Linked DNA regions of Solanum lycopersicum. The protein of the gene in region 1 interacts with the protein of each later gene in a pairwise test. Links are inferred from orthologs where the notes say so. Each region holds a gene or a part of one and is shown on either strand. Other genes may lie near its edges.

The links.
Region 2: the proteins of HY5 (region 1) and BBX20 interact in binary tests that used the Arabidopsis thaliana proteins (3 or more experiments, as listed by UniProt). The link is inferred for Solanum lycopersicum from reciprocal best matches to the Arabidopsis thaliana genes HY5 and BZS1.
Region 3: the proteins of HY5 (region 1) and B-box zinc finger protein 22 interact in binary tests that used the Arabidopsis thaliana proteins (3 or more experiments, as listed by UniProt). The link is inferred for Solanum lycopersicum from reciprocal best matches to the Arabidopsis thaliana genes HY5 and LZF1.

The regions. Positions count from the first base shown.
Region 1 is NC_090807.1:48,172,274-48,179,359, reverse strand, and holds HY5 (transcription factor HY5), read left to right. Parts: upstream 1-2,688; 5' UTR 2,689-2,750; coding exon 2,751-2,847; intron 2,848-3,001; coding exon 3,002-3,179; intron 3,180-3,311; coding exon 3,312-3,468; intron 3,469-5,793; coding exon 5,794-5,838; 3' UTR 5,839-6,226; downstream 6,227-7,086.
Region 2 is NC_090800.1:93,031,037-93,037,117, forward strand, and holds BBX20 (B-box zinc finger protein 20), read left to right. Parts: upstream 1-2,384; 5' UTR 2,385-2,521; coding exon 2,522-2,707; intron 2,708-3,160; coding exon 3,161-3,652; 3' UTR 3,653-3,761; coding exon of another isoform or gene 3,762-3,769; 3' UTR 3,770-3,792; downstream 3,793-6,081. Other genes in the region: kinesin-like protein KIN-7D, mitochondrial, read right to left, coding at 5,494-5,576, 5,658-5,787. UniProt on the Arabidopsis thaliana protein: Acts as a positive regulator of seedling photomorphogenesis. Plays a negative role in brassinosteroid responses.
Region 3 is NC_090806.1:67,406,941-67,413,761, forward strand, and holds B-box zinc finger protein 22, read left to right. Parts: upstream 1-2,454; 5' UTR 2,455-2,517; coding exon 2,518-2,663; intron 2,664-2,742; coding exon 2,743-2,860; intron 2,861-3,887; coding exon 3,888-4,316; intron 4,317-5,262; coding exon 5,263-5,547; 3' UTR 5,548-5,889; downstream 5,890-6,821. UniProt on the Arabidopsis thaliana protein: Acts as a positive regulator of seedling photomorphogenesis and light-regulated inhibition of hypocotyl elongation, independently and in concert with HY5 and BBX21.

The DNA.
Region 1 (7,086 bases):
TCTATCTTTCCTTTGAGATTCTCAAAGAAATCCGCTACATCTAGATGCATTGGTTCAACAGTATCTTCCATGATAAAGTTGGCTTCTGCGTTATTTTTTACCTCCTTCAGGGAAGCTTGATATAGCTCAACCAGGTGCCTTGGCGTACGACAGGTACGTGGCCAATGTGCTTTTCCTCCACATTGATAACATTTGTCGTCTGAATTTTTCTTCTGCACTACGTCATGTTTTTCATTCTTCTTTTTACACTGCTGGTATTGAATGTTATTATTTAGTGCAAGACGATCATCATGATTGAAATTTCTTCCTCGACCACGGTCACGACTGGGGCCACGACCTTTTTCACGCTTAGATTGGTGAAAATTTACCGTATTTACTTCAAGAAATGGCATAGAACCAGTAGGTCGACTATCATGGTTTTTCATCAATAAGTCATTATGTTATTCAGCAACAAGGAGATGTGAAATTAATTCAGAATACTTTTTAAATCTCAATTCTCGGTATTGATGCTGCAGAAGCATACTCAAGATAGGGAAAGTGGAAAACGTTTTTTCAGCATATCATGGTCAATGATATTTTCTCCGCATAATTTTAATTGTGAGATAATTTTAAACATGACAGAGTAATACTCACTAATAGATTTAAAATCTTGAAGTCTCAAGTGGATCTAGTCATAACGTGTCTGTGGAAGGACGACCAACTTCAGGTGGTCATATCTATCTTTTAAATTGTTCCACAACATCAGAGCATCCTTAACAATGAGATATTCCATTTTCAAACCCTCATGAAGATGATAAAGGAGAAATATCATCGCCTTAGCACGATTTTGATTCGATGCTTGATTATTTTCTTGGATGATGTCTTGTAGACCCATCGCATCAAGATGAATTTCTGCATCGAGTACCCATGATAGATAGTTTTTTCCCGATATGTCTACAGCAAGAAATCCAAGTTTAGAAAGATTAGACATTATTTAAGAAAAGGAAATTTATACCTCCGAGGCTTTTAAAGTCTTTACTTGAACTGGAAGAGACTCGTGCTGGTAACGTATTATAAAGAAAGCTCGGAATATTATATAAGAAGAAGAAGACAAGAAGTATAAGATAGAGGAGAATACTTTTTCTTATTCAAGTATATGTAAGTATCATATGTGTGTCCTACAATAGTGAATGAACAACCCTATTTATAAAGTGAGAAATCACTCCAAAAGTCACCATATTAAGTATCATAATAAATAGATACATTCTTATCCAAAAAGGTTTATGAAACCTAGTGAATATGAATGATTGTTCATGTACTAACTTTATGGACTATCCACTTATTCAATGAATTTATAACATAAATTAATTTATGAATAAATATTAAATTCGTACGCTAATACATATATATTTCATAATATATAAATATATATATAATGGAGCTACGGGTCATATTTAGAGCCGTAAAAAAATGCTTGACCCACGAAGCCAGCCCAACCCAACCTTGAAATAAGTTGGGTTGAGCTTAATATTTTTGACTCATTTATAAATGAGACTTTTTTAGCTCGCCCCATTTGCCCCGTTGGCCTCGTATCCAACCTGTAAACCTCAGAGTCGAGTTCGTGGGCTATTAATTTTTAAAAATATTTATATATATATTTTTAATAATGTTTTATTTGTAAAGATTTCATTAATAATTAAATATTTTGCAAAAATAAAAAAATCAAGTATTTTGCAATATCATATTCTTGGTGTAGATGAAGATGGACTTCTTAAGGAAATAATATCACATGTTGATTCAAATATGTTCGACGGTGGAAATTAAAGCGGAGTTGTAAAACATTAATTAATGAGTCATGTAATAGTTAGAGATTCAGATTTGTTAAGTATTTAGGCTGCCTTGTTGCTGAAAACTAGTTTTTTGTGGGAGAAATGATGGAATGATCAAAATTTATCCATTAAATCTTATGTTGGCTATTATGTATTTTTGTAAGTATTCACCAAAGCGTGTGATTCATAAATGTATTTTTGTGAGTATTCGCCGAAGTGTGTCATTTATAAAGGATTTTTTATTTAAATTGATGTCGTGTTTATAGACATAAACATTCGATATTCTTTTTAAGAGAATAATATTATTTATTTTTTGGTTGAAGGGTCAATCCGTTCCAATCCGTGGCCTGCTTATGACTGATTTAAATTGTTATTTTATTGATCCTTTAATTAAATAACTAACCCGCCCAACAATTCTCTAATCCATTAAAATTTGATTGGACCAACCTATTTAACGTCTCTAATTATATTTGATTTATAATAAATAAATAAATAAATAAGAGACGGGGAAAGTATAAAAAATTCTTGAAAGTGGATAGATGGAGTGGATAAAATATCTATCATGGGCAAAACGGTAATAACAATAGCACTTTTTATTAAACCAGCAAAAATAAATGGTCCCGATGCGTTGTACCTACTTAAAAGTTTTAAGAATAATTAATCATAGCCGTTAATACTATCAAATCGAAAGGCTGCCATTTGTCCACGACAGTTACGTATGAACCTTTGATTAAGCCGACAACTTATGGCTTCTAAAGCATCCACGATCACCTCTTTATATCCGTCCGATATGAAACTGATCCAACGATTATTATTCCATAGAGGTGCTTCTCTTTCTCTCCCCTCCTTGTTTAACATTCATGTCCCGCTATTTCTTTTCTGAATAAAATACGAAACTGTACTTTTCCCTTAATTTAGTGTTTTTTTCAAGTGTAGAGAAAAATGCAAGAGCAAGCGACGAGTTCTATTGCCGCTAGTTCACTACCTTCAAGTAGTGAGAGATCATCTAGTTCAGCTTTACATCATGAACTCAAAGAAGGTAATCTTTTTTAAAAAAAATTTAAATCCAGCTTTTTAACATTTAATTTTGACGAATTTATGGAGTAATTTTTTGAAGAATGTGTTGTTTTGGGTTAGGTATGGTTGAGATTTTGAAATAGTTTTTAAAAAACATTTTGTGTTTTTTTGTGAAGGTATGGAGAGTGATGATGAGATCAGAAGAGTGCCGGAGATGGGCGGAGAAGCGACGGGGACAACGTCAGCTTCTGGAAGAGATGGAGTATCGGCCGCCGGTCAAGCTCAACCATCAGCTGGGACTCAAAGGAAGAGAGGAAGAAGCCCAGCTGACAAAGAAAACAAAAGGTTAAAAAGGTAAAAACCTTAAACATCATGCCACGTAGGTGTATCTACTTGTCACATGTTATGGGCTTCCACACTTTCTTTTTTTGGATAGCAGTGGCATTTTAGTTAATATTGTATTTTTTTTTGGTGGGGTTGAAAAAGATTGTTGAGAAATAGAGTATCAGCACAACAAGCAAGGGAGAGGAAGAAAGCATATTTGATAGATCTGGAAGCAAGGGTGAAGGAATTGGAAACAAAGAATGCAGAACTTGAAGAGAGGTTGTCTACTTTGCAAAATGAGAACCAAATGCTTAGACATGTAAACATTCTTCTCTCTACTTCTATTTTTGCAATAGAATTGTTCATCTATATATCCTATATGCTTGAACGTGTGCCATGTCCGGTCTAATTACTATTCAGATACTTCTTCCACTTACCTCTATTTCTACTGAATCCATTCACAGCCAAACTCTCACCTCCCCCCGCATTTCTACATTCGTGCATCTTTCTCTTCACATATCTGAATCTCTTCCCGCATCTTATTCTCTTTCGAAACCACACTCAGCTTGTTTCAACTGTCCTGATTTTATTCTATATCTCCTAGTATATGTGTCCACACATCCATCACAATATCTTCATTTCCACAACTTTCATCTTTTGAACGTGAGAGTGCTCAACTACATGTACTTGCAAAGGCGTATTCAGGATTTCGGCAAAATGGATGCACAATTACGAATAAAATGCATCTTAAATATAAATTTGATCAATTTGACTTTAAAGTTTCTAATATAAAACCATTAAACTTTTAAAATTGTAGGTGCAAAATATATAATACTACTAGTTTAAATTTTAATGCACACATTTGATTTAATTATACATATAAAATATTTTTTAGGAATTTTTAATGTAATACACTTCAAAATTTTTGAAAAAATTAAGGAAAAAAAAAGAAGAAAAATTAGTTAAAACGCTAAAAGTATATAACCAATAACTACTTGTAGAGGTGCTACTTAAAAAGACAAGATAGATATCTAAGATTTTAATTTCTATCCTCACAGAGGTGCACCCAATCATCGTCATCATATTATTATACGATACTTTAACTGTGGGTTCACACATCTATATTTAAATATTTTTCTTAAAATATAACACTATTATATTTGATCTAGAGATGGTAGCATGGGTTCATGTGAACCCATGACACCCCCTCTAGATATGCCCCTGTATACTCAACCCCATACGACATAGTTGGTCTAACCGTCACTATGTAGAATTTCTCTTTATGTTTTGGTGGAACCTTCTTATCACTAGCAACTCAGATGCAAGTCTCTATGTCATACACGTTGCACCAATACAGTGAGTGACATCCTCGTCAATCACCCCATTTTCTTGGATAACGGACCAATATACTTGAATAGAGTATAGCACCAAAAGTTGTGGTCTATTGTTCAATGAAGAAGTTGAGAGCCATGAGATCTCAAGTTCAAATTCAATAGAGTAAAAGAGCTACTAGGTGATTGTTTCTGTATGTTCTAGCCTTGGTGAATATAGTTACCTGGTATTTGATGCTGGTTGGAGGTGATGATAGGTATCTCGGGTAATTAGTTAAGGTGCGGGAAAGCAGCCTTAAAAATAAATTAGATGAATGGGGGGATTATCCAGAAACAATTTATAAGCTCAGTCATTTCTTTGGTTTAGCTCACTCTTATATCGGGCTTTTGTTATGTCCCATCAATTATTTATTAAACATTGAAGACGAGGAGACAAACTATGAATTATCAACAATATGCTGTGACTTCAGCCTCCTGAAGTTACATTAGTATTATGTAATTTATGTGCAGTAGAAATGTACTAGCGTATGAACATAGATCAAAGCATGGAAGCTTTCTCACCTTCTATATTCCCCAATATGCATTATACTGCCCATCATATGTGTACAGAGCATTTAAGCTGAACATATAATGTATGAATGAAGTGTTCTTGTATCTTCCATAGTATATCTGGTAGCGAGAGATGTAAAGAATTGCGTAATCATCCATGATATATGATGTCAGCTTTCTACTCTTAGTTATTACCTTGTAGTAAATCTAAGAACTACGCTCATGTTAATTGGGAAGTGTAGAGATTACTTGGGTAAAACTCTCAAGGCTTGTCTGCATGAACATGTAATACCAGTAACCGGTTCCTATAAATTTCGACCTTGAGCATGTGTTGTATCTATACACATCTTTCAGCCTGTATTTAAGTCACAGGCGTGGCTATTTCATATTAACCCTTTCTTATACACTTCCCCTCTTGCCGGTTAAGATTGGTACTTATCTAGTAGAATAACTATAAGATGAGTCTTGCTGAAAATCAATAAAGACAACTTAGAAATAACAACTCTATGTGACTATCAGTCAAATCTTGGATTTATCATGATTAAACATCTAATTGTTGGAATGCCATTGACCTGATTGACAAAACATCAACTTTCATGATTTCATATTGCATATCCAATCCGCCTATAAGAATCTCCAAAGACCACACAAAAAGGAATTCAAATGCTTCAATCTTTCCATGCTGTAAATTTGCTTTCTTCAGAGATGGCCAAAAAGAAAACGGTGTATATTTGGGGTTTGACTTCTTTTGTTATAATCTGCAGATACTGAAGAACACAACAGCAGGTGCACAGGAAGGGAGGAAGTAGACATATGATCGATCTTATGTCGATATGTCAGCATTCTTGTTTAGATCCTATGTAGGCACTGAAGAGAAATTCTCTTCTGGATTTGAGAATGCATGCTAGTTTCGGGTGGATTGTTCTGATTTGATGCATTGCATACTTGCTACTCTTAACCGTTGTCGGTTATATATTATCAGCAGAGAGTGAAGGATTGTGGCTAAGCTATTCTTAAAGTCACCAGCCTTTGGTAAGTTGCATGGACTAATCTTGGATGATATATGCTACAATTACCTATAACCTTTGCTAGCGTTCCCTAGTGAGTTGAAATCTTTATTAAAAACCAAATCGATGTACTGATAAGACTCGGTGTAAAAGAATTTGTGCAATTGAAAACCAATTAGGTACATTCAAATTTGTCTTAACCTAAAATTCGTTGATTGTGTTAACTAGTTAAATTGTTAGGTTTGCATACATGCAATGGAATTGATCCAAAACCTGATTGCTCCTTTGACAATGTACAATAAAAACAAAGAAATGACGAACCTAAATATTTAGGTCCAAAGAGCAAAAAGAAAGAGGTGAAGTCCTATTTGATTATTTTTCAATTACATATATGTATAAATTTAATTCCTTACGTTATCATATATATACAAATTAAATTCCTTAGGGTAAAACTTCAATTTCATATTTACAAATATCTACCAAGAATAATTACAAGAAACTAATGTTATTTCTATTCACATTTTGTTATCAACTCATATTTTGTATGAGTTATTGTGATATCTATTATAGGTCGATTATGTGTTAAATTTATTTCACGCTAACAAAAATCTATGAAGAAAGATAATAAATAATTTTAGAATTATCTTTCTATATTTGAAATGAATAATGATGAATGGCAAAAATGTAATTTCACGCTAACAAAAATATTAAATAATTTTAGAAACATCTTAAGTAATTGTTATTACCATTAACTTATTTTATTGTTACTTCATTTTCTTTTTATTTCTTTTACGAGTTATTGTGCCATCTACTTTATTATTACTTCATTTTCTTTTTATTTCTTTTACGAGTTATTGTGCCATCTACTTTATTATTACTTCATTTTCTTTTTATTTCTTTTACGAGTTATTGTGCCATCTACTTTATTATTACTCTATTTTACTATTACTTTAATTTTATTCTTAATAATTTTTCTATTCATTATGCTTCTTTAAAAACCTACTTTTATTATAAAAATGTCACGAATTAGTTATTTCAATCTTTATTTTT
Region 2 (6,081 bases), on another chromosome or scaffold:
CATGGAATAAATATTCAAATAAATTCAAAATAACAATGCAATAAATCTATAGATAAACCCAAAATCATAATAATGCGATCATATAGAACTTTGTTCAAGATGAAGATATATATTGAAGTAAACAAATGTTCAAGTTCCATTTTAGAAAAGCTTCAAGTGTGAACTAATTAATAATGTAGGCCATTTACACAGCAACCATCGAATTTTCATATGCCAAAGTCAATTAAATTTGAAAAGCTTGATTAAGTCGTATTTGGCATAATTGTTTCTTTTTCTGTTTGAATCTTGAAATTAGAAAAATTTGTCTTTTACCTTTTCAAACTTCAAAAATACTTATTTGTTTGAACTTTTACATACCTCCAACATTGTCAACTCGTCCATTGTAACCAATCATTCAAAATTGGTCATTTTTCAACCTTTTAATTTGTAAAATTATCACTATGATTAATATGATCCCTCCACCTTTCACCAATTTTTCAACCTTTTTGTAAAATTATCACTGGGATTAATATGATCCCTCCACATATAACTGTCGTTTCGTTTGAATTCAAGTTATGATTGGATCATAATCGTTTGAATTCAAGTTATGATTGGATAAATTATGATGAGATTATTTTTTATTGAGTTTTTGATTTGTTGTATTCAAAATAAATAAATTTTAAAAACAATTTATTAGTTTATAAAAATAACCTTCATGTATGTAAAAAGTAATGTAATAAAAGGGTTGAAAGAGATATTTTTGGTCATTTAATTATTTTATCTAAGGATTACTATACCACCCAAAGGGAGGGATAACTTATCCAGAGACTAATTATTAATTCCGGGATAAGTTATTCCGAACTTGTCAACCAAATAACAAACTAAATGGTACTATAATTTAATCACATAACTATTTGGTTTTAGATTTGAACCTTGAATACTACTAATTGGACCGAAGAAAGTATCTCCTATTAGGGTTTGGTGTATCAAAGAGTCGCTCCTCCAGTTGAATTATCGGGTCCCTTTTCCGTTGCCTAGGTTACACTTTCGAAATACCCTGTAAGGGAATTTTTTCTACTCCCCAAAACTTCACTTTACATTTTATGCCACGCCGACTCCTTTATTACGCGTGGAATTAGACCAAGGGGAATCTCTATTAGAACTAGTCCCTTATGTTTCGCACATAGGAGACCTAGACAGAACCCCAGGGCTATGGAGACAACAAGTATCTATTTCTCCTCTACTCGATCGCTTTTGTTATTGGCGATGTGCGTTTTCCCCTAATGAATCTCCACAATATAATTTAAAAGATCGAGACCTCAAAATAGGTATCAAACATCGAGTGAAAATTCAAAATAATAATTTGTTGACTTAAAAAAAAAATTCAAAAATAGGATTTAACAAAAGATTTTAAAGAGAGGCTGGCTGGCTAGATCATCTATATAGGGGTAAATAGCACTTATTAAGTGTAGCCATATGTTATACAATCATCAGTTGATATTATTAGGTTTAACCCTAATAAGATGTGAATTCAAATAGTAGCTGTCAAAGCCAGCCAAACCCCACCCACCCCTTTTAATTTCTGCAAGAAAAACTAATTAAAGTGAAAGCAACTGGCTTTGTTTGCCCATAAACTGACATACTTTAGCATTTATACATATTCCATGTCCCCCTCTCTATGCCAATTATATTTGATAAATATTTATTATTTTGGTACTCTTCCTAAATAATTTGGAAATATCTACACTAATATAAATGGCTTGATCTTATTACACAAATATTTGACTAGGTAGATCTATCTAACCAAGTAATATAAATGGCTTAGCTTGTACCAAAATATTTATAAAGATCTACCTTTTACATATGTTAATTTCCATTTTCCAATTTCAAAGCTTAAGAGGGTATCACCGTATCGATCAATCAATATCAATAAATGGGATAATAACAGCTTCATCCTATCCCATGCACCAATGCCCACATTTTCACGCATCAAAATAACTGCTTGCTAAAGATTATGTCTTTTTTTTAAAAAAAAATAAAATAATAATAAATGTAATGGTAATGTTTGGATAAGTTTGTGTCTGTATATAGCGTTCAACCATCTCACCGTCATTTATTATCAAAAAGAATTTTTTAAGATAAATGATTTTGATCGAATTGTCAAATGTATAGTAGCTCATCAACTAAGGCTAGAATATAATTGAACCATTGAGTGGTGAGAGTGCGAAAGCTTTTTATAAAGTGTTTTTTTAAAAAAAAGGCAACTTGTTTGGTTATTTTGTCTTTACATTTATTTGGACATTATAGAAGCCATTGTCTTTTATTTCCAGAGATTTCTCTTTATTCAGTCATTGAAAGAGAAATTTTAATATATTTTCTGAAACTCTTCAGAGACTTTAGGTGTGAGCCCACAACGAACACAACTCCCTTTGTGCCCATAATATTTTGTCTTTTTCCCAAATTTACTCTCTTCTATTCTAAGTTTCTAACTATATATACATCTCTTTAGGGAAACAGTACAAATATTAAAAAGAAAAATAAAATGAAGATTCAATGTGATGTTTGTGATAAAGAAGAGGCATCAGTTTATTGTTCAGCAGATGAAGCCACACTTTGCCAAAGCTGTGATTATCAAGTGCATCATGCCAACAAGCTTGCAAGCAAACATCTTCGTTTTTCTCTAATTCATCCTTCGTTCAAAGATTCTCCTCTTTGTGACATTTGCCAGGTACTAATAATATTCGAGTTTGGTTTCACAGATGATCACTCAATTTAAAATTATTACGTCAAAATGTCACTTGATCTGATGAAGAAAATTGAATTAAGGAAGGTAATTTTTCGAGATAACAAATTATTAACAACATCTGAGAAATATATTGCAGTGTAAAATTTTTGCACAATCAACAATTACTACTGAAAAATATTTTAATTGAATCAGTGAGAAAAAAATGTTATCATATGAAAAAATTAGGAAGTTCCCGACTAATATAGTGATAATTTATTTATACCATGCATTTCCTCCGGTGAGCTAATTCAGTAGAACATGAGAGGAAAAATCATGATCTATTAACACATATACTAGCGATGAGCATAAAATATGGGCTGATAGTAGAACTTATTTAATTTTATGGTGTATAATGTAGAAAATTAACATTTATTTCTTATTGTATTTTATTTTCAGGAAAGACGTGCATTGCTATTTTGTAAAGAAGATAGAGCAATACTTTGCAAAGAATGTGACTTGCCTATACACAAAGCAAATGAACACACAAAGAAACACAACAGATTTCTTCTAAGTGGAGTGCAGCTATCTTCTGATATACTTGCTTCTAATTATAATAATAACCAAAATTCAATATCCCCAGCTGGATCTGCTGCAAGTAATGCTGGTACAAATAATTTTAAAGCACTTAGTGGAAATTTTGGGATGAAGAGTAATTCGATTTCGAGTACTACAGAATCGACACATAACTATTTTCATGTTGATTATGTACAAGAGGGTTCTGTTTCAACTAGTAGCATATCAGAATATTTGACTGAGACTCTTCCTGGTTGGCATGTTGAAGATTTTCTTGAATATCCCTCTTCTTCTTCCTATGGTAACTGTTTCTTTTTTACGGATTTAAAAATGTCATTAACTCGAAATATGGGCATTTTTGGATCAAATTATTGACAAAAAGGAGCATTTTAGACCAATATTATTAACTGATGACATATTTGACCATTTTTGAATATAATAAAATTTTCAGAACTTGCAACTAAATGATGCTGTTTGATTGCAGAATTTTGATCAGGTACGACCAGATGTGTAGTTTTTTCCCCCACTAAAGTGGGGATACCTCATAATATCAAATGGAGTACCTGTTCCACAGATCAACTCTCCATCAACCTAGCAACTTATAGGACAGACTTGGTAATAAGGGCATAATATCTTTTAAGATATTAAGAAAAGAGTTATATAAACTGCCATCTGACCTTTTCTTTTGGTTACTAACTTTGACCAGTTACTTTGTTTTTGGACATGTAACACATGTTGTAAGTTAAAGCCCCACTGTTCTTTTTTTTTTTTTTTGGTTATTTGTTTTTTGCAAGTCAAATCACTTCGACTTGTTGCAGTATGTTAACCTGAATGGGAATGGGTATTACTAGATGTGGGTACTTTTGTTTTTTTGCTTTGTGGGAGGCCAATCTTTTTGTAATGCTAGTGGGAAAGCCTTGTGCCTATTACCCACTTTGATTATTGAATATGGTATTCCTATTTGTTCAAGTATTCATGGCCAAATCAATTATTTATGGAAGATTGATGCAAAGATATGGCATCCAAGATTTTCGACGACGACCTTTCTAGGCAATCAATGTCAGTTCAATCATTTATAATCTACACCACGTTAATGCACAATGACAATCAAAATAACTAGTTCAAATATGAATTTTCAATATTCATTTTAGATTATGTATTGGAACACATTTCATCTTATATTCAAAATTTTAGATTATGTACTACTCGAGCTTCTCTATATTAGTACATAAATTGTTTAAACATGAAAGACTCGTTGAATATAGTCTAAAGTTAGTATGGTATCATGGCTATGCCTTATTCCCAATTGAGTTCTATAGCAGTAGACCGATCCATGTGACCTTACTAAAAGCTCATATGAGAATATTCTTTAAATGAGGGTGATGGGATGTTCTGCTTCTACTGGAAAAATTCATTAACAGTGTTCGGTAGGAATAATATTCATATTAGTTATGCGTTAAATCTTTGATATAACTTGTCTACAAACCCCACTCCTAAAATATCCTATGAAATATCTATGTATGATTATCTATGTATGATCATTGGAATCCAAGTAGTCCATATATCACATTGCACCTAAGGAATATACAAACCGGACTAGCTGGCGTGCTTGTTAAAGCTTCTGATTATTACATGTTGAAGACATTGAAGAAAGGCAAGTTAGTAGAAAAACAAAAAAACAATTCCAAGTGAAGATTTAAATTCCGAATAACCAAGAAACCAAAAAGAAATATACCATGTGGAATAACAAATAAAGAAATGTCAGACCAAAGAGAACAAGATTATAGCCCCTACAAGCTCAAAATTTTTTTACTTACACGACACAACATTGTGACTGCAGTAGTGTTCTCTATATACTACAGTTGAAGTGCAAGGATATCAAACTGTGGACAGAAGCAACTCCCTGAGTTCAAATAGTATTCGACCGTGTCCTTTGTCCCCAGTGTCTTTCTTAATTTACAGTTGATTGGTAGATAAGTGGGGAAAAAAAAGGTATACTGTTGACATTACATACAGTTGATCAATTTAAAGAATTGTTCTGAGAAAGCGAGTTTCACAAGTGTGAAGAGAACCCTCCTACAAAGAGAGGGAGAAAAGTAAGCACCTTATTGCAAGTTGTGACTTCAGAATTTATGCATATTTGTAAAATAGAATGGGAATTCACGATGAAACAACCACCAACCTTTCACCATAGCTTAAGCACTTGAAATGGCGTCTCAAGTAAAGACAAAAATCCTATCTGCAATTTCAGTCCGACAGATTGGACACTCGGCACAGGCAAGGGAACAAGATTTACACACTGCAAATCAAGACTACATTAGACAGATCCTACCCAAGGGAGTGAAGATAATCTGAGCACATAATCAGAAAGTTGACTTACAGCAAAAATGTCGGCAAGGAAGGAGCATTGCAGAAGTTAGTGATTCGAAACAGACTTTACATACATGTGAATTTGCATCTGCATTCCCCACATATGTGTGGTCCTTTTCCTTCATCTCATGCATTCGAGCCTGATGGCGCACACATAAAAGATCTTTAATACTTTGTCATATTTTGAGTCACCAAGGAACCTAAAGAAACAACAGTTGTTATTAGTAGTTTCTACCTATGCAAGAACCTAAGCACTAACAGGTATTCTGTTACCCATGTTATATCAAGTTTCCCGTTTTAGGTTCCATCTCAAAACGCTCGACACGATTTCATTAGTAATATTACACTACAGAGTCAAATTCTTCTAAGAAATACAATCTATTTGACTGTCAAAATATTCTTTTATAACTAAAACTAACTGTCAGTTCAACATT
Region 3 (6,821 bases), on another chromosome or scaffold:
TAGAATCATAATTTTTGGTTGTTAGATATGAAATTTACCTTACATATTCAGACATAATTTCAACTTCAAATGAATCATTTTCCAAGTCAAGGTCAAAGAGACCTATTTAGTGATAAATGAGACTTAATGTACTATATTTCAAATTAATAATCTCATTGGCTTTATAATATTTTTTTAAAAATTATTTTGGATAATGTTTAATAGGTATGGGTGAATTTATGATATATACATGTGGGGTTTCCCTGGCCTCCCCACAAGTATACAAACTACTCCACACCATCCCCTCGTTACTTTTTACTGTTATTCATTATATATCGTATTATATATCGTTGTATAATAGAGTATCTAAGGATGGTAGGTAGATATTGCGAGTTTAAATTTCATAAATAACAGTATTAGGTAATGATTTCTCATTTATTCAAATTTTGGTGCATATTCAATACATATATGATTATACCAATGAATAAAAAAAATCACATATTTTTTTAAATACTTTTAAAATCTGATTTTCAATATCAGTCATTGCCACATCAAATCGTTTCGTATAAATTCCATCGGAATAACAAGTGATTGAACTTGTAAATAGGAAAGTCTATTGAAATTTAATCATTTTTCGTATTTATTAATTTAAAAAAGAAAAAGTATTTTAATACTTGATTTTGACTCTTTACATAGATATTATCTAACATATAATCTTTCTTTTGGCTTCTATTAAAAAAAAAAAGAAGATCTTTTTCGGATAAAGTATTCTAATGGATATTATTCTTGTCTTTTTATTGATATTTTTTTATAGGACTATAGTAATATATATAAAATAACAAAATATCATTGGGAGTAGATACAATAAAATCGTTAACAGTACCCACATCCAGCTCAGCGGGTCACCATTATAAACCCGACACGTTCTCTCAAAATCAACCATTTCTTTATTTTCCCCCAAATTTCTCAGAAAGCTCACAGTTTATTCGTTTCATTTACTGCATAAACCCATTTTTGCAACTTCCAGATCTTTTGCTTCTTCATACGTCGGAGTGCTGAAGAAGTGATGAAGATTCAGTGTAATGTTTGTGAGGTTGCGGAGGCGAACGTGTTGTGCTGCGCCGATGAGGCGGCGTTGTGTTGGTCGTGTGATGAGAAGGTTCATGCTGCTAATAAGCTTGCTAGTAAACATCAGAGAGTTCCTTTATCTGGTTCTTCTTCATCTATGCCTATGTGTGATATCTGCCAGGTATGTAATTGTACTCAGTGAATTGAATGGATTCTGTGGATATTGCTATTCGGATTCAGCTGTGTCAGTTGTATTTACTTTTATTTGTTTTGGAGTAGCGTAAATTAGACGTAGATAAAGTTGTATTTTTTTTTTACTTTTTTGGTTTTTTTTTAGTAGTATAAGTTAATGATAGGTATTGTGGGTTTATTGATACTACTGTTTATAGAATAATAACAATATTTCTTAGTGTAATTCCACAAGTGGCGTCTGAGGGTGGTATGTATGCAGCCTTACTCTTATCTTGGGAAGGCGGTGAGACTGTGTATGATCCTTGGCTCAAGGATGAAAATACAGTCTTGATGAAAATAATGGAGAAAAGAACAGTAGTTGGAATAAGTAATATCAATGATTGAGGCAAAGGAAGCAATATGTAATGATAAAATCATAGACTAAGCTTGTATGGGAATAATAAAAATGATACTAATAAGGGAAACTTGCAGTATAAGCACTATGTCTAGGTCCTAGTCAACTTGAACCTATTGCATTTCAGAGTCTGTCTTACAACCTCCAGCCTACGGTTAACTCCGTTGTGTGTCTATTCAATCAATACTATGTTATTTGCAAATAGCATATACCATGGCACCTCCATCAGATATGTTGCATCAGTTCATCCATCACCAGACAAATTAAAACGGGCTTAAGTTGATCTATGTTGCAATCCCGTCGTGACTTGAAAGTGTTCCTAGTCTCTTCCCACTTCCGTACCCAGATCTTGGCTCCACCGTATCTGTCCTTATTCGCCCTAATGTAAGCTATGGGTACACCTCTACCCTCCAAACATCTTCACACATGACACAACCTCCTTAGGACCTTGTTGTACATACTTCTAGTTTAATGAACACCATATGTAAGTCCATCTTCCTCTCCCTATACTGACAGCCCTTCACGCCTCATCTCTACCACCCTCTCTTAAATTTTTATATTGTGACTTTGCAACTTGATACCCCTATGGTTGTCATATTTCTGTAATCTGTACATATCCCTTGTTCTTGTAAAACGAGATCATTGTACTCCACCTCTTTTGTTCGGGCAATTTTTATGTTCTAAAAATGACGGTAAACAATCGAGTTAGCCACTACATGCCTGATACTACTGTATATGTGTCTTAAAAATTTCAAGTGCTACTGAACTAATTCTTTTGTTTTGTGGAAAGATATGCAAGTAAAGTTAAAATCGAGGTGCAAATCTAATTTCTTTTAATCATGTTGTTTCAATAGAAATTGCATATTTGGTCTTTGCTTACCTTGATGTCCCACCCCTTCCCTTCAAAAAATAAAAAGGAAACCCACAGAAGAGGCAGGGAAGAACAAAATAAAGAAAGGAGATTAGGGGTATTCCTTCCTGCATGCATTATGAAGATATGCAGATCTTTTTCACGAATGGATATATGGAGGTCTAAGTTAAATATTATGCTGCCTTCTTGATTGGTTATGGTTCCATGAAAAGCTGCTGATTCATGGAAATTAATGTAGGATATGGTTTGCATATGGCATGTGGAGGGCTCATCTAGAGGTTCTTAATGTTAAACTATGGGCTACCCTTTTCCCTTATTTGGCAGTCCTTTTGGGCAAGAGATTAAGGAAGCAAGAGGTGATAGATTCCTACTTTTCTGCTTAGAGGTTTCTCAACATCTGTTTATAAGATATACTGAAATGCATTATCGGGTGATCCATGTTATAGGAATAAAAGTGGAATTCGAGATGTAATGACAGAATTCAGTCCAAACATGTGATCATCAGAAGAAAGTGTATTACACATATCAAGAAGGACAACCAATTGTGATTACTTGTTGTTCACATAAGGGTTCATGGTTAAGGATCGTTTATTGTTCACTTTCTCCTGAAGAGGAAAAACTGAGGTTGAGTCCAGTCTCCTTTATTAATTTATCTTATTGAAAAAGGGTGAAAAAAGAGGTCTTGGGATGGGGGGAGAAGGTGAGGTGATGGTGCATTTACCTCTTATAAAGGAGAAACCTAATCTGGAGCCTTAGCCATAACCTGTTCTCCAGTTCATAATTATGAATATTCATAGAGAGAAAACTATTGTTAACTTTTGCAACCCACACCTTTGCTTTAGGGGGGATCCACTCCATGTTTCAAAAAACATATAGAAGCTCAGTTAGAGGTTGAAAATGTTAGTATCACATAGGATTAAATGTGCCTGTTCAGATTGTAATGCTTACGCAATCATCTGGAGTGCTCATGATATCAAATCATGAACATTACTGGCCTTTTATTCTATTGTAAGTGCAGATATTAATCACGTTAAGGAGTTTGTGGTTATTAGTTGGACTCATACTGTTGCATGAAGCATAAGTTACCATTTGGCATAGCGGAAGTGATTGCATCTTTCTCTTCTGGAGATTTGATTTGATAGCTGAGGTTTTTATTTTCCTTTTCCTTTGTGGACCCAAAACTGTTATTTCCCAAGTTTATGAAATTCTGCTACCTTCTAATAAGAGTCCCTTCACTTCTGTGCTTCAGTGTGACTTTAGATGTATACAATTCATGTTTATTTATCTATCAATTTCTTTTTTCCTTTTTTAAATTGGTCATATCTCCAGTTTATTGGTGCCGTACTATTCTGAGTATTGATAAAAAGGATTCTATTTATGCAGGAAACAGTTGGCTATTTCTTTTGTCTTGAGGATCGGGCATTACTTTGCCGAAAATGTGATATTGCTATTCACACAGCTAATCCTCATGTTGCTGCTCACCAAAGATTTTTGCTGACTGGAGTGAAAGTAGGACTTGAACCTGTTGATCCTGGTGGTATTTCATCCTCAGGGACATCACAGTCCATTCAGAAGGTTTCTGAGCCAGAGTCTGCTCCACTTTCAAAACGGAATGCCTCAGTATCATTGGATGCTCAATTTAACAAAGTGTTACCTACCCAGGTCAGTGGCATTGAGGATTTTGCTCCTACTAAGTCTCCGTTTGCTGGAGGTTCTGCAGCTGGAAGTATGCCACAATGGCAGTTCGATGAATTTATTGGTCTGAGTGATTTCAATCAAAATTATGGATACATGGATGATGGATCATCTAAGGTACGGTTTAAGTTGTAGTTGTTGTTTGTAGTTTTCACAATTGAAATTAGATGAATTTCTTGGACTGCATTTTAATCAGAAGTATGGGATGGATGACTGATTACTTGAGGTATTATTTAGATCTTACTTTTCATGAATATCTTGGACTGCATCTGTATTTCTGATATTGGATTATCATCCAAAAGAGAAAAATCCCTGATGGAGTCTATTCCTGCCAGTAATGTTGTGTGGCATGCATGCTCTGTTATCTATACTTAAGGGTTTAAGTCGTAAGCGTGTATTTTCCCCTACAAGAAACCAAAGAATAATCTTCATCTAAAAACATGGAACTGGAAAAATGAGTTTATGGTTGGATTATCTGTTGGTAGGACCACTTTATGCATATACTGGTAGCCCCAACCCAATCTTTTGATTGGACAGACATTTTGCCACGAACTTGCCCTTCCCCTTCATATGACAAACTCATAGGTGATAAAGATTGTTGGAGTATTACCATATTGGTGATATCGCACTTCGCCAAGTAAATTTGGGCCTCTCAAATGCTTGGAACTCCGAGTCTCGATTAGTGTTGAATATAGACATTCTAAAGTGCACCATTATTATTAGCATGTGGCTGGATCACAACCTTGCTTAGGGTTGTGACAAAATAGAAGCAGCTTTAGCTATTGCATCATGCCCTTTTGTTTTGGGCATTCATGCTACAGAAAATATGCCTTGGTGTTAAGTCACATTATTGTTTCTATGGGTGCTTAGTATATGAAGATACATTTTCGACCTTATGGTTGCTAGATATGACTAGTCAATTATTTTCTAAAAAGAAATATTCGGTATATCGCTTGCCTCTTTGCTATAAGTAGAATGCATGGATATACCCAGATAATCAATAATTTGCACAGGGATTATGTTCAATGGCTTCTAAATTAGTTCCTCCATTAAAATCTATCAGGCGGATAATGGCAAACTTGGTGGAGAGTCGGACTCTTCATCAATCTTAAGAGTTGAAGATGAAGAACTAGATGGTGATGAGTGCTTGGGTCAGGTGCCAGACACATCTTGGGCAGTGCCACAAGTTCCTTCCCCACCTACGGCCTCTGGACTTTACTGGCCCAAAACTTACCAGAATCCGTTCGACTCTGCAGTGTTTGTGCCTGACATTAGTTACTCCCCTTCATCGAGCCTTCAACAACAACCTCCAAGTGGTACTCGTCTGAAACGAAGAAGGCAGTGTTAATGCACTTTAAGCTTCTTCGCTCACGTTTGTGATAGGTGATTCAGATCCCTAAGCTGTTCACTCATGTTAGTGATAGGTGTTGCAGATCCCTAAGCTCTTCACTAAAGTTAGTGATAGGTGTCTAGATAGAGCGGTGTGTGGTAGTTGAAATTTGATTTTAAAGTTGTTTCCGCAATGATTATTGTGTGTTTCTCCAATGTAAGTAACCTGCACTGTCTGCTGCAGTTACATAGAATGCCAAAAGTGTATTAGTTCCACTCCAATTCCCAGAAGTTGTACAAGAAAATGAATTTGTGTAAAACTGGAACCAGAGAAAAATGACCAGTGTATCATCTTAATTTACCTCCTCTTCACTTTTTCTCCTAGTCGATTTGAAATTGCATATTAGAAATGTGCATTTTAGTTCAATTTGTTGAATATTTGTATTCTAGCCCATCATCGACAATAATATATTCAGTGTAATTCCACAAGGGTTGGAGACAGTAACATGTATACAGACCTTACCCTTACCTTTGTGTCGGGTAGAGAGGTTATTTCTGATGATTCTTTGGTTTCCCCCACCCCACCCAAAACACACACATAGTAAAGGAGAATTCAAACATCTAGCGTCACAAGTTATATGAATATCTACATTATCATGCATTTAATGCATTGTTTACCCATATTAAATATAGACGGGTCAGGCGTTTGATTATTTTTTTTTGGTCTTAACCTATTTTCAACCCGTACAGGATCCCTTCATTTCCCAATAGCCTCATGATGCGTTGTTAAAAGTGGCTGGTCCAAGCTTTGCTTATCTTTGTATAAAATCATATTCAAAGTGGATGAAGTTAGTTATAAGTGGTCGAAATCAAGAGGCAGCTCATTTGCATTGGTACCTACTGTCAATTATTGTATAGAAGAGCTGTAAAAGCTCTACTATTTGCTAATCTAATGTTAACACATGCCTTTGCCTAACCTAAGGCCCCCCCCCACATGGGAGAAATTTGCAAATTTAGGCTTCCAACTTAAGTAAATAAGTAGACTTTGACATATATATATATATATATATATATATATATATATATATATATATATATATATAAAAACACGTGAAATGGTTGCATTAGGCTTCGAGTTGGAGAGTACTTATTGGAAAAGGGGGTTCAACTGAACTCTCCTCGATCTCTGTCTGTTTTCTAGATTTGGAAAAGCGTAGATTTTTCAAGAATGAGAATCATATGATATGTTGGAAATTTCTTATGATATCTTAATGCGTGAAAGTTAGATAGGAT